Callithrix jacchus: one gene and its partners. The protein of the gene in region 2 interacts with the protein of the main gene of each other region in a pairwise test. Links are inferred from orthologs where the notes say so. Each region holds a gene or a part of one and is shown on either strand. Other genes may lie near its edges.

Region 1 (4,121 bases), on a different chromosome or scaffold from region 2:
CATTCACAGATGAGAAAATTGGGGCGATAGAGAGATTCACTTGCCCAAGACCACTCAGCTAGCAGATGGCGGACTCAAACCCAATTAATTCTGACTCCAACAGCCATACACATGGTCTACTTTTCTTTACTGCCTCTAATAGATGAGATTAATACCCAGAATGATAGTCCTATTCAATATGTGTATCACATAAATTGCACGTTTCTCTTTTGCTATATATAAACTCATACGATAACTGCTTCTTTATTTTCTGATTTTTGGGAGCTTGGCTCTTTTTGTATTTTTCCTTCCTGGAGGACCTAAAGTGGTATGGAAGTTTGATAAAACAGTTGACAGAAAAGATGAGATAATGCAAGTACAGACATTCTCGAACGCTCTGGCAGTTGCTGGAATGATGGGATCTGGGTTCTACAAGATTCCTCCCCTCCCATCCTCCGCCACACACACACGTCGAAAGGCTTATATGGCCACGGAGTCTCAGGTTGGTTCTAGGAGTCCTCAATTCATGGCGAAGTTACCTCTTCTCCTTCATGGGGAGCCCAACATGCTTCAAGTCAACCTGAGGCCGCCTCTCCGGCCCGCGCTCATTCCAAGGGAAACCGCCCGCGGAGGAACCTGGCGCCAGGTCTTTGACACCTGCGACGCGCCCCGCCTGGCGCCAGGGGGCGCGGAAACGCGTCCGCCCCCAGGCCTCAAGCCGGGTTCGCCCCGCCCCTGCCGGCCACACCCCCCTCCCCGCCCTCCGTCTGTGAGGATCCGCGGCTCCCGGCCCCGGCCCGGCTCCCGGCCCCGGCCCCGCTCCCGGCGCAGGCGCAGGCGCAGTCCCGTGTTCCCTCAGCAGCTGCCGGCGCCTTGAGCCCGCCGCCACGGAGTGTAGCTGGAAGGGCTCGCCGCCCTCCTCCGCCTCTCGCTGCTTCGGGGCGCGCTCTCTGCGGCTCTGCGAGCGCCCCTGAGCGCCGGCCGCAGCCGCGGTGCTTTAGTCAGGTGAGTGCGGCCACGGGAGGGAGAGGCCCGGGGCGTGGAGCACCGCCCCACTCGGCGCCAGCGCACCCGCCTACCGCGAGTCGGCCGGGAGAGGCGGCCGCGGCAGGTGCAGGTGCCGGCGCCGGGGAGGGCGCGGGCGGCGGGGGTTCGGCGGGATGCCCCGGTTCGGCGAGCGCGCTGTCCGCCTGGGCACTCGGGCTCTGGGCCCTTGGGGGCGGCGTGGGGGGGGCTCGGCGCCCCGGGTCAGCCGGCCACCCCCTAGTGGGCGTCGTTCGGCGGCTCCTCCCCCGGGCTCGGGCGCGTTACTCATTAACTGCGCGGTCCCGCGTCCCCGGGGTGGGGAACCAGAGCCGGACGGGTTACCTGGCTGCTGGCAGGCGGGCGCGCGGGGGCGGCCGAGAGAAGAAGGCCAGGGTCGCAGAGTGGGTGAAGAGAGTTCCCGAGCAAGTCGGAAGCCGCTCACAACACCGGACACCGCGCGGCAGGGCTGTGGACGAGGCTGTAGCTGTGGACCTGTGGTGGTTTCGTGCCCCAGTCTTAGGAAACGACGCGCAAGGCACCGTGCCGAGGCGTAGAGGTCACCCTCGGGAGGTTTCGGTGAAAACTGGTGGGAAATTACAGGCAGGTGCCCGGAGTCGCGCCCGAGGATCTCCGTGCAGCCCGACTAGTGTTCCGGGGAGTTGAGACGAGCTGCACTGGTGGGATTGCACCGGCTCTGCCCTCCCAGCGTTGACTATTCGCCCGGCCGTCCGGGAAAGCGCGAGCTTCCTGGCTCCAGAAGTGATGATGCTGCTGGGTAGAAGCCGCAGCAAGTGAAGAGTTGCCAGTTGTTATGGGATTAAAAAAGAGATCTCTGCAATGGCTAAGGGGTAAGGTCTTGAAAGACAGGAGCGCTGAGTTAGTACTGATTCCCGAGAGGAAATTTAGTTTCGTGGAATTGTTGCCTGTTCGGAGGCTACCTGTTATACACTCTCCTGCTACCCACCCCCACCTTTCAGTGTCGGGTTAACAGCCTTGTAGTCTCTTACAGTGGAATGATTGCGTAATTGGAGGGGCCCATAAGAGGATTACAACAAAACTGGTCCATTGTAAATCAGCTGAAAGACCTAGTTCTTGTTCATTATCGTTTTTCTCATTTTGTTGTTCATGAAGGTTTTTTTTAAATGGTGAATGACAAATCAAGGAGAAAAGAGGCAGAATAGGGTTGTAGACCAATCATAGTAAATATTTGATACTGTTAAATATTTCACCAGTTTTATGGGGCCTTGTTCTGTTACCATTTGTTATTTATTTACTGGTACTGTGCATTTCTATAGGACTTTTCGTGTTTGGGCAGACATTGTATTCCAGATACAGTTTATGTGATCTAATGCTAAAGCCCTTGTGGAATTTATAGAAATAAACAGGCAATTAAGTAGTCTATTTTTTTAATGATTAGAGGAAAAGCCTTTGCATTTTTTTCCATTAATGTTGTGAACCAAGGTGTTTAATATAACTCTTCTTGTGTGTTTGGCAAACAGCTCATCTGTGGTACTGAATACTTGTAACCTTTCACCAGGATGGCTATTTGATGTTTAGCTGCTTTGTGGGATTTCTGAATAGATCCTATTATACTTTTTGAATTAGTGTAGTTAACCATATGCTTCCTTTAATATATTTTATCTTTTATTTTCCCTAAACTCTCATCTTCCTCCAACACACACACACATCCTCTACAAGTAATTTTTAAAATGGAAAGGTTCTTAGAAATCTTTCACCCCCTCATTTTTTAAACATGGCAGGAAAAAAACCTTGTCGATTACAGTAGTTTTATATGCATTATGGTAGTTAGTATACTTTATTCTCCTCAGCAGGATGCAGTGAACAAATTAGTGAGCTGGGTGAATGAAAAATTATTTAAGGTTCAGCTCCCTCACTTACTATGCATAAACCTTGAGTAAATCATTTAACCTCTTTGAGCTTATTTTCTCCATTTGTCAATGGAGATACTATTAGATTGAAATCGCTAATATTCTGCTGTTTATGTTTCAACTAATATGAACTTCCTAATGGTGAGATGAGGATTTAATAAGATACTCCATTAGAGATGAGGGGAAGCGGAGAAGGAACAAACATGAGCTTGATTGTGTGCAAGGCAATGTGTGTGCTTGTTTTCGGTACCTTGATTCTTTAGTCCTCTGGACATTCCTGTGATATAGGTGGTTTATCAAATTTTACAAATCAGGAAATGGAGGCTTAGAAAGTTATAATAATTTGGCTGGACGCCGTGGCTCACACCGGTAATCCCAACATTTTGGGAGGCTGAGGTGGTGGATCACGAGGTCAGGAGTTCGAGACCAGCTTGACTAAAACGGTGAAACTGTGTCTCTACTAAAAATACGAAAATTAGCCTATCATGGTGTTGTGTACCTGTAATCCCAGCTACTTAGGAGGCTGAGGCAGGAGAATTGCTTGAACCTGGGAGGCGGAGGTTGCAGTGAGCCCAGATGGTGCCACTGTACTCCAGCCTGGGTGACAGAGTGAGACTCAGTCAACAAAAGAAAGTTGCAGTAATTTGTCTGTAGTTAACTTAGTTGTCAGTGGTCATAGAGATGGCCAGTGACAGAGCCACTATTAAAAACTGTATCTGACTGCCCAAAGTGGAACTTGGTGCTCTTGTTTCTTACGTGGTATGTACTTTCTGTTAAAGAGCTTTGTAACTATAAGGAGGCACACAGATCACAAGTGTTACCATTTGTATATTTGGTTTAAAAATACTCAAGTTTTCCGATGACAGTGATAGCAGCATTGCTACTACAGTTATGTTTCAGTCTAGTGCTTATCATGCCAAGTCCTGGTCTAAGCATTATACTAACTCATTTACTCTCACAGTGAGCCAGGAGATAATACTTCATCCTTGTTTTATAGTTGAGAAAATTGAGATGCTGAGACCTTATGTAGTTTGCCCAAGGTCACATAGTTAATTAAGTGACAGGTCTAGATTAGATGTCAGACAGTTTGTCTTCCATGTCTGTGCTCTTAACCACTACACTCTGTCATTTCTTCATGGCTTAAGTGGTAATGCGGAAGAATTGTGTGCTCATAATCACTACATTATCACTTGTTTATGTATAGCTTATAATGCTGAGGAACTGTTT
Region 2 (3,226 bases):
ACGTACCATTGCGCGCGCAGCTGGAGCAGAATTACCCTCATTTTTAGGAATCTAGTGACGCCTCTTGCCTCAGGGAAATGTTTCTTTGATGGGGAGTTTGAGATTTCTTTTTCTTGTTTATGCTTTATTTGTGGTAATGAAAGAGCGAATGACTGAACAGCCATGGCAGGGCAGATCCATAGGCGAAGCCGCGGCAGAGCGGCCTCGGGGTCTGGGGGCTGCAGCGGTTTCCTTGGCGCAGCAAGCGTCTCTGAGCACTTACCAGGCGTGGCCGTTTCTTAGGTGTGAGAGGGGCTGTGGCTTTTGTGCAGCGACTATGTTGGTGTTAGGGGTGGTGTGGAGATTGTTAATCTTGTATAAAGCGATTCAATAAATTGTTTCAAGGTTTCCAAAACATTTTTTTACTCTTTTCTTTCTACCCTGTGCAAGTGGTGCTTCTGTAGGAGCTGGTATGTATGGAATATCCATTTTGGCTGAAAGACAAGAGGGAGTGGGGGAAATAAGCCTTGCATGCAAAAGAAGAAACGAGCTGACCATCCAGTAGACTCCAGCCACCAGGTTTATTTTCATGCTGTAAATAAAGGTCCCCATTGTTCCCATTTTCTGTTATACATGAGATACAGAGAACCAGAAATGTGCTTGGTGAATAATCAACTGTTTTGTATACCTAAATACCAACGAGATAGTAAGCGAGACTTGTAAAGCACTGAAACCAGGGCTAACAGCAACACAATCCACTATCAGAGGATTTCAGTGCCAGAACTGTGAAGTGTTCCCTATCGCTGCTGGGACAGTCCGGCTGACAGTTCCTGCCCACTCTAGCACCGAGGGCTGGACACTTGTGATTTCTCTTTGCCTTCCCTGGCATGGAGCCCAGATCTGTTTCATGAGCAGAGTAACTACCAAGGAGGCTTCTCTGCTGGAAAGTTGGTTTTAAGTCAGAAATCTGGAGAGACATCATGGCGGGCAGCAGCCCCAATGGGCCTAGCCCTTTGTAGGGCAGTGTCACTGTCTGGTGTGCCAGTGCCCATGCTGCCTTGAGTGGGCTTGGCTGCTGTGGTCGTCTTGTCCTCTAGTGGTTTGCAGGTTGTGTGCAGCTATCACGAGGAGTTTGTTGCTGGGAGTGTACGGGAAAGGGGAGGAAAAAAGGGTATCGGATTTGTCCAGTCACTGGAGGATGAAGTGGGTCACTCAGAGTGAATGGTGGTTGGGATGAGAGTTGCCTGTCTTCAGCCAGTGCCTGTCCCATATTTGGGCTAGACTTTGACAACCTGGCAGCGAGGGTGTTTGTTTATAAAATGCTTGGCCTGCACAGGGCCAGGGAGAAGACGACACCAAGGAGGCCACTGCGTCGTAAGAGAGGGCCAGCATCTGCCGCTAAGAAGAGTTGCAAGGGCTGTGCCTACTTCTGCCCAGACACCAAGACCGCCAGCTCCTGGATGGACATATCCTTGTTGACATAACGGTCGTACTGAGCAGGGGTCAACCTGCCGCTCTGCAGGGCCTCTTCGATGGAGAACTTCTTGCCAGATTTCCTGTCGTGTATCACTGAGGACTCCCCGTTGGGCCCCTTCACTGAGATCTCCTCCCAGTCACACTCCTGGCTTTTGAGTTTCACAAGCATGCTCCAGTCAATGAGCCCGGCGCGGTGGGCTTCCTCCGGGGACAGCTCGCGGCCTGTGTCGGGGTGGATGACCACGATGGAGCGCCGCAGGTGGTTCTCCCGCTGCTCCCGCTTGACGGCCACGGAGCCCAGGCGCCTCTGCAGCTCGTCGATCTCGAGGTCTTTGTCCTTGGAGAGCCTCTTGAGGTCATCCAGTTCCCTCTCCAGGGACCACAGTCTAGAGTCGTGATTGGTCCCAGAGTCTGCCACGGTCATGTTCCGCAGGTCTTGTGTTTCCGTCGCTGCCATTTCAATTTCCGATTGCAGCCTTCGGGTCTCTAGCTGCAGGTTTTGCCGCTCTAGTTGTAATTTGTGGTTCTCTTCCCTTAGAAAGTCTAGTTCCTTGGACGACTTGGAGTTACGGAATTCCAGCTCCGAAAGCCGGGCTTCCAGCCGGCTCACTTCGGCGTCCAGCTCACGCTTGCTGCGGCTCTCCTCCTCCAGGCTGCTCTTGAGCCTCTGGATCTCTTGCTCAGTGTTGCCCTTCTCCACCTGGACGCTCTCGGAAAACACCACCTTCTCCTTGACTTCCGCCTTCTCCAGGGCGGCCAGCTTCCTCCGCAGGGTCTCGAGCTCACCCTCCAAGAGTTGCCGCCGGTGCTGTTCTTCCTCCAGCTGCAGTCGGAGCAGGGCATGCTCGCGGGCCTGCTGCGGGTCCTGCTGCAGCACTACCTTCTGCTTGCGGGTCACCTTCTCAAGGGCCTCAGCTTCTTCCTGCTCCAGCACTGCCAGCCGCTGCTGCAGCCGCTGCACCTCGCGTTCAGCCTCCCTGCGGGCCTGCCGCTCTCGCTCCAACTCCTCCAGCTGCCGCTCAAGTTCGGTGCGCCGGCGCTGTAGCCGCCGCAGCTCCGCACGCAGCTTGTCGATCTGCCGCAGCTCCACGTCGATGCTCTCGGCGAAGGAGCTCACCTCGGCCCTCAGGCCAGGCTCCTCCTCGTACCTGACTACTTCCTGCTGCACCACTCTTTCCTTCACCTGTGAGAGCTCCTCCTCCTTCCGGGCAATCTGCTCTTCCTGGGAAGCCCTCTCCCTCTCCAGGTCCACTTGTCTCTTCTGCTCCTCTGAGAGCTTTGCCCTCAGAGACTCCACCTCCTCCTTCGTTTGAGGGTCTTCCTGAAATTGGAGGATCTCCTGGACCACCTCTTTGGTCTGGACCTGGGGTTTGGTGTCTTTCAGGGCCTGGATTTCCTGCTTCAGCTGGTAGATCTCTAAATCACACCTCTCTATCAGTCTGGTCTTATCCACGATCTCTTCCCTGAGCCGCTGAAGCTCCTTCTCCATCTCGGGGTCAGTCTTGTACTTAATGACTTCCTTAGTCACCTCTTTGACTTCCACCTGGGGGCCCCGCCTCCTGAGGGCCTCCAGCTCACTCTGGTAGCTCCGGAGCTGCTCCTCAGCCCCCCGGTACTTTCGCTCCTGCTCCACAAGCTCCAGGCGGAGGTTGGCCACTTCACTCTCTGCTTTGGGGTCTGGCCGCACGATCTCACGCACCTTCTCCTGCACCACCACTTTGGCATTCTCCTCCTCCAAGGCCCATATCTTCCGGAGCAGCTCGGTCTTTTC
Region 3 (3,647 bases), on a different chromosome or scaffold from region 2:
GCCGCTGGGTCAGGTACTCACAGGGAGACCTGCACAAGGCTTCTGAAAAATGAGACACTAATGAAACTCGTCTTCAATCCACTTGCAAAACACAGTGTGCACGATTGACCAGGCTACGCTGTGGAACTGCTGCCTCTCAGCCGAGACCCTGGGATGCCCCCTCCCATGCTGGGTGGAGACCACAGAGCAGGTGTCCAGGATCTTCTGTGAAACAGCGGTGGCCAGGGATTGGTGGGGCTGGGGGATGTCCCCACCTTCTGGGGCCCATCGGTGCCCCCCAGGGACTCAAGGCTGGGTGGCTGAGGCCCGAGGCTGGCCATTCACATGTGGCCATGAACAGTGTGGAGCTTCTGGTGGTCGATGAGGTGGACCATCCAGGGGAAGGACTTCCCGCAGACGCTGCATCGGAAGGGCCTCTTGGGGCTGCGAGGGGCCGCCGGATCCTGGGCTCCATCCCTGGGTGGGGCGGATTCCCGGGGGCCCTTGCTCCGGGGGCCTTTCTTCTTGGGTGGCTCCAGCAGGTGGATCTTGCTGTGCTCAGCGAGGACGGAGCTGTGCAGGAAGACCTTGCCACACTCAGGGCACGGAAAGGGCCCCTCTTCGCGATGGGTCTTCTGATGCTCGATAAAGTGGGTGACCCAGGTGAAGACCATCCCACAGTCGGCACACTGGAAAGGCCTCCCCCCTCGGGGCCCACGCGGCGCTCCCGGGGTGCCTGTAGCAGCCTCTTGGGTGCCAGCTTTGGTGTGCTTGAGGGATGGCTGCCGGCGGCCGCCCTGGTTGGTGTTCCTGTTTTTCTTTCGGGGACTGATTCTCTGAGCACTCAGACCCTTGGGGCCCGAGGTCACAGCCCCTTCTGCCCGCAGGTCTGAGGAGGGCCCTGGGAGAATTTCCTCAGGCTCGTCCCAGATACTTGGCTTCAGAGGCAAGCGGGCCCGGGACCCTGTGGAGAGTGAGGGAGACGGGTCACCTGTAGTGAGTGGACTGCCTTGGCACCTCCCTTTGTGCCTGAGGGGCATGGAGGACCCCAATGACTGAGCCAAGTCCAGGTCCTTCCCCTGCTCAATATGGCCCCTCTGCCCTCCGTCCTGTCCTTCAAGATAGGTGGGCACATGTTTTGGGGGCAGATCCGTCAGCACTGACCCCTCGTTCCTACCTGGCTGGCCCTCTGGGTAACCCCCTGCTCCAACACTCTCAGTCTGTCTGGCTTGGCTGCCGTTCAGGTGGGGAGGCAGAGGCCCTTCTTGTGGGGTGAAGAATGTGCATGGTGGTTCTAGGGGCCCCAGACCTCAGTCCCCACGGAAGGTTTGTATGGTTTCTGGGGAAGTGTGGAGTTCACCACCGAAGCCCCTAACTCCACCCATTAACAAAGTCTGCGGCTTTAGGTTGAGGTCCCAAACTGCATTTCCAAACTTTAATCTGCACAAGAGCCAGACTCACCCATCGAGCCAGGGGCGCGGGGTGGCTCGGCCTCTGCCCTCGTGTGCACACCCTGCGGGAGCTGGGTGGGCTCCGGCCACTCGCTTTCCTCTGGGGGTGCCGAGGCTGCCGCTGCCGCATCCAGGATCAGCTCAGACGCCTGGAATGACAAGCACAGGACTGTTCCGCACCTGCCCCTCAGGTGCTGTCCTACCCCCATCACCGAACAACCAAGGAACGGGTCGTCGCCAAAGGCTCTCCCAGGGCGGCGTGCGGTGGTATGCGCCTGTCGTTCCTGTGTTTGGGATGCCCATGAGGATGCCCGGAGGATCGCTTGAGGCCAGGATTTGGGGACCAGCCTAGGCAACATAGCAAGACCTCATTTATACAAAAAATAAATAATAACTCCCAAGGAGCTCTTACCAGGACCTGAGACAGAATTCAAGGGGCCGCTGTACAAAATTGAAATGCAAGTCTCCTTGTTCAAAAATCGTTGACCGTTTCAGGACAGTGACAACAGAGCATTAGCTAGAGCCAGGGGACCTATGCCTTGCAGCTCGGGTCACTGTTACCCACCAGAGTTCCAAGCTCCTCTGGCGGGTTACAGCCTCCCCAAGGCTGCACTGCCCTTCCCCACAAGCTCAGAGAAGATGGGTAACCACACAGGCTTCACATCCCACCTGCAACCTATGACCTCTGCACTCCTAAGCCTGTCCCACCCAAAACCGGGGTCACCACTTTCTAGGCAGGGAGATCACCTAAGGTCAGGAGTTCGAGACTAGCCTGACCAACATGGAGAAACCTCAACTCTACCAAAAATATGAAAAAATGTAATAATCACAGCTACTCAGGAGGCTGAAGCAAGAGAATCACTTGAAACCGGCAGGTGGAGGTTGCAGCAAGCAAAGATTGCACTCCAGACTGGGCCACAAGAGCGATACAAGGAGAAAGAGAAGGAAAAGGAGGAAGAAGAAGGAAGAGGAGGAGAAAGGAGGAAGAGGAAGAGAGAAGAAGAATTTGAAACAGAGGGGTCTGGCTTGGTGTCCAGGCTCAGCCCCACTTGCTGTGTGGCCCTGGCTGAGGTGCTTTAGCTCTCTGGGCTTCAAATGAGGATGTGGGTGCTATGTGCCCACAGCCTGTTACCATCAAGGGCTCGGCGTACTGCAGGAGGGTCGTAGCAAAGGAAAAACACTGACATTTGTCAATGCAAATCAGGTTGTTGGGGAAAGTGTGTCGGGTCAAACAAAGCCTGAGAAGAGACCAAGAATCCAGCAGGCCTGTCTTGGGTGGGTCTCCACTTTCTCCTGCCCCAACCCTACCTGGATGCACAGGGGCCTAAGGAAGCTGTCCTAACAGCTGGGCAGGACAGGCATGCAGAGATTGCAGGGCTGGCGACTGAGGAGGTAGGGAGGGAGGGAGCTGATGGCCCGAAGGGAGTTAAGACACAAGATTTCGCCCAGGCGCAGTAGCTCACGCCTAAAATCCCAGCACTTAGGGAGGCTGAGGCGGGTGGATCACGAGGTCAAGAGATTGAGACCATCCTGGTCAACAAGGTGAAACCCCTTCTCTACTAAAAATACAAAAATTAGCTGGGCACGGTGGTGCGTGCCTGTAATCCCAGCTACTCGGGAGGCTGAGGCAGGAGAATTGCCTGAACTCAGGAGGCGGAGGTTGCGGTGAGCCGAGATCGTGCCATTGCACTCCAGCCTGGGTAACAAGAGCGAAACTCCGTCTCAAAAAAAAAAAGGACGCAGGATTTTCCTGCTCTCACATTGGGAGTATGTGGATGGTGTGTTTGGCTGGGTTGTTGATTTTTATTTCTTAGCCATTGCTAGTTTTGATTTTAAAACATGTCAAATTCTGAAATTGTCACCAGAGGAGCCACCATCTGCAGGAGTAAAGATGCGACTTTCTTTTTTTTTTTTTTTTGACACGGAGTTTCGCTCTTGTTGCCCAGGCTGGAGTGCAATGGCGCGATCTCGGCTCACCGCAACCTCCGCCCCATGGGTTCAGGCAATTCTCCTGCCTCAGCCTCCTGAGTAGCTGGGATTACAGGCACGCGCCACCGTGCGCAGCTAATTTTTTGTATCTTTAGTAGAGACGGGGTTTCACCATGTTGACCAGGATGGTCTCGATCTCTTGACCTCGTGATCCACCCGCCTCGGCCTCCCAAAGTGCTGGGATTATAGGTGTCAGCCGCCGCGCCCGGCTCAGAAATTATCTTTTTT

The links.
Region 1: the proteins of PPL (region 2) and RAB3IP interact in binary tests that used the Homo sapiens proteins (3 or more experiments, as listed by UniProt). The two-hybrid records come from large-scale screens. The link is inferred for Callithrix jacchus from reciprocal best matches to the Homo sapiens genes PPL and RAB3IP.
Region 3: the proteins of PPL (region 2) and ZSCAN1 interact in binary tests that used the Homo sapiens proteins (3 or more experiments, as listed by UniProt). The two-hybrid records come from large-scale screens. The link is inferred for Callithrix jacchus from reciprocal best matches to the Homo sapiens genes PPL and ZSCAN1.

Annotation. Positions count from the first base shown.
Region 1 is NC_133510.1:72,312,555-72,316,675, forward strand, and holds the start of RAB3IP (rab-3A-interacting protein), read left to right. Parts: upstream 1-1,317; 5' UTR 1,318-1,842; coding exon 1,843-1,853; intron 1,854-4,121. UniProt on the Homo sapiens protein: Guanine nucleotide exchange factor (GEF) which may activate RAB8A and RAB8B. Promotes the exchange of GDP to GTP, converting inactive GDP-bound Rab proteins into their active GTP-bound form.
Region 2 is NC_133513.1:6,999,079-7,002,304, forward strand, and holds the end of PPL (periplakin), read right to left. Parts: coding exon 1,403-3,226; 3' UTR 542-1,402; downstream 1-541. UniProt on the Homo sapiens protein: Component of the cornified envelope of keratinocytes. May link the cornified envelope to desmosomes and intermediate filaments. May act as a localization signal in PKB/AKT-mediated signaling.
Region 3 is NC_133523.1:50,755,333-50,758,979, reverse strand, and holds part of ZSCAN1 (zinc finger and SCAN domain-containing protein 1), read right to left. Parts: intron 1,580-3,647; coding exon 1,441-1,579; intron 944-1,440; coding exon 321-943; 3' UTR 1-320. UniProt on the Homo sapiens protein: May be involved in transcriptional regulation.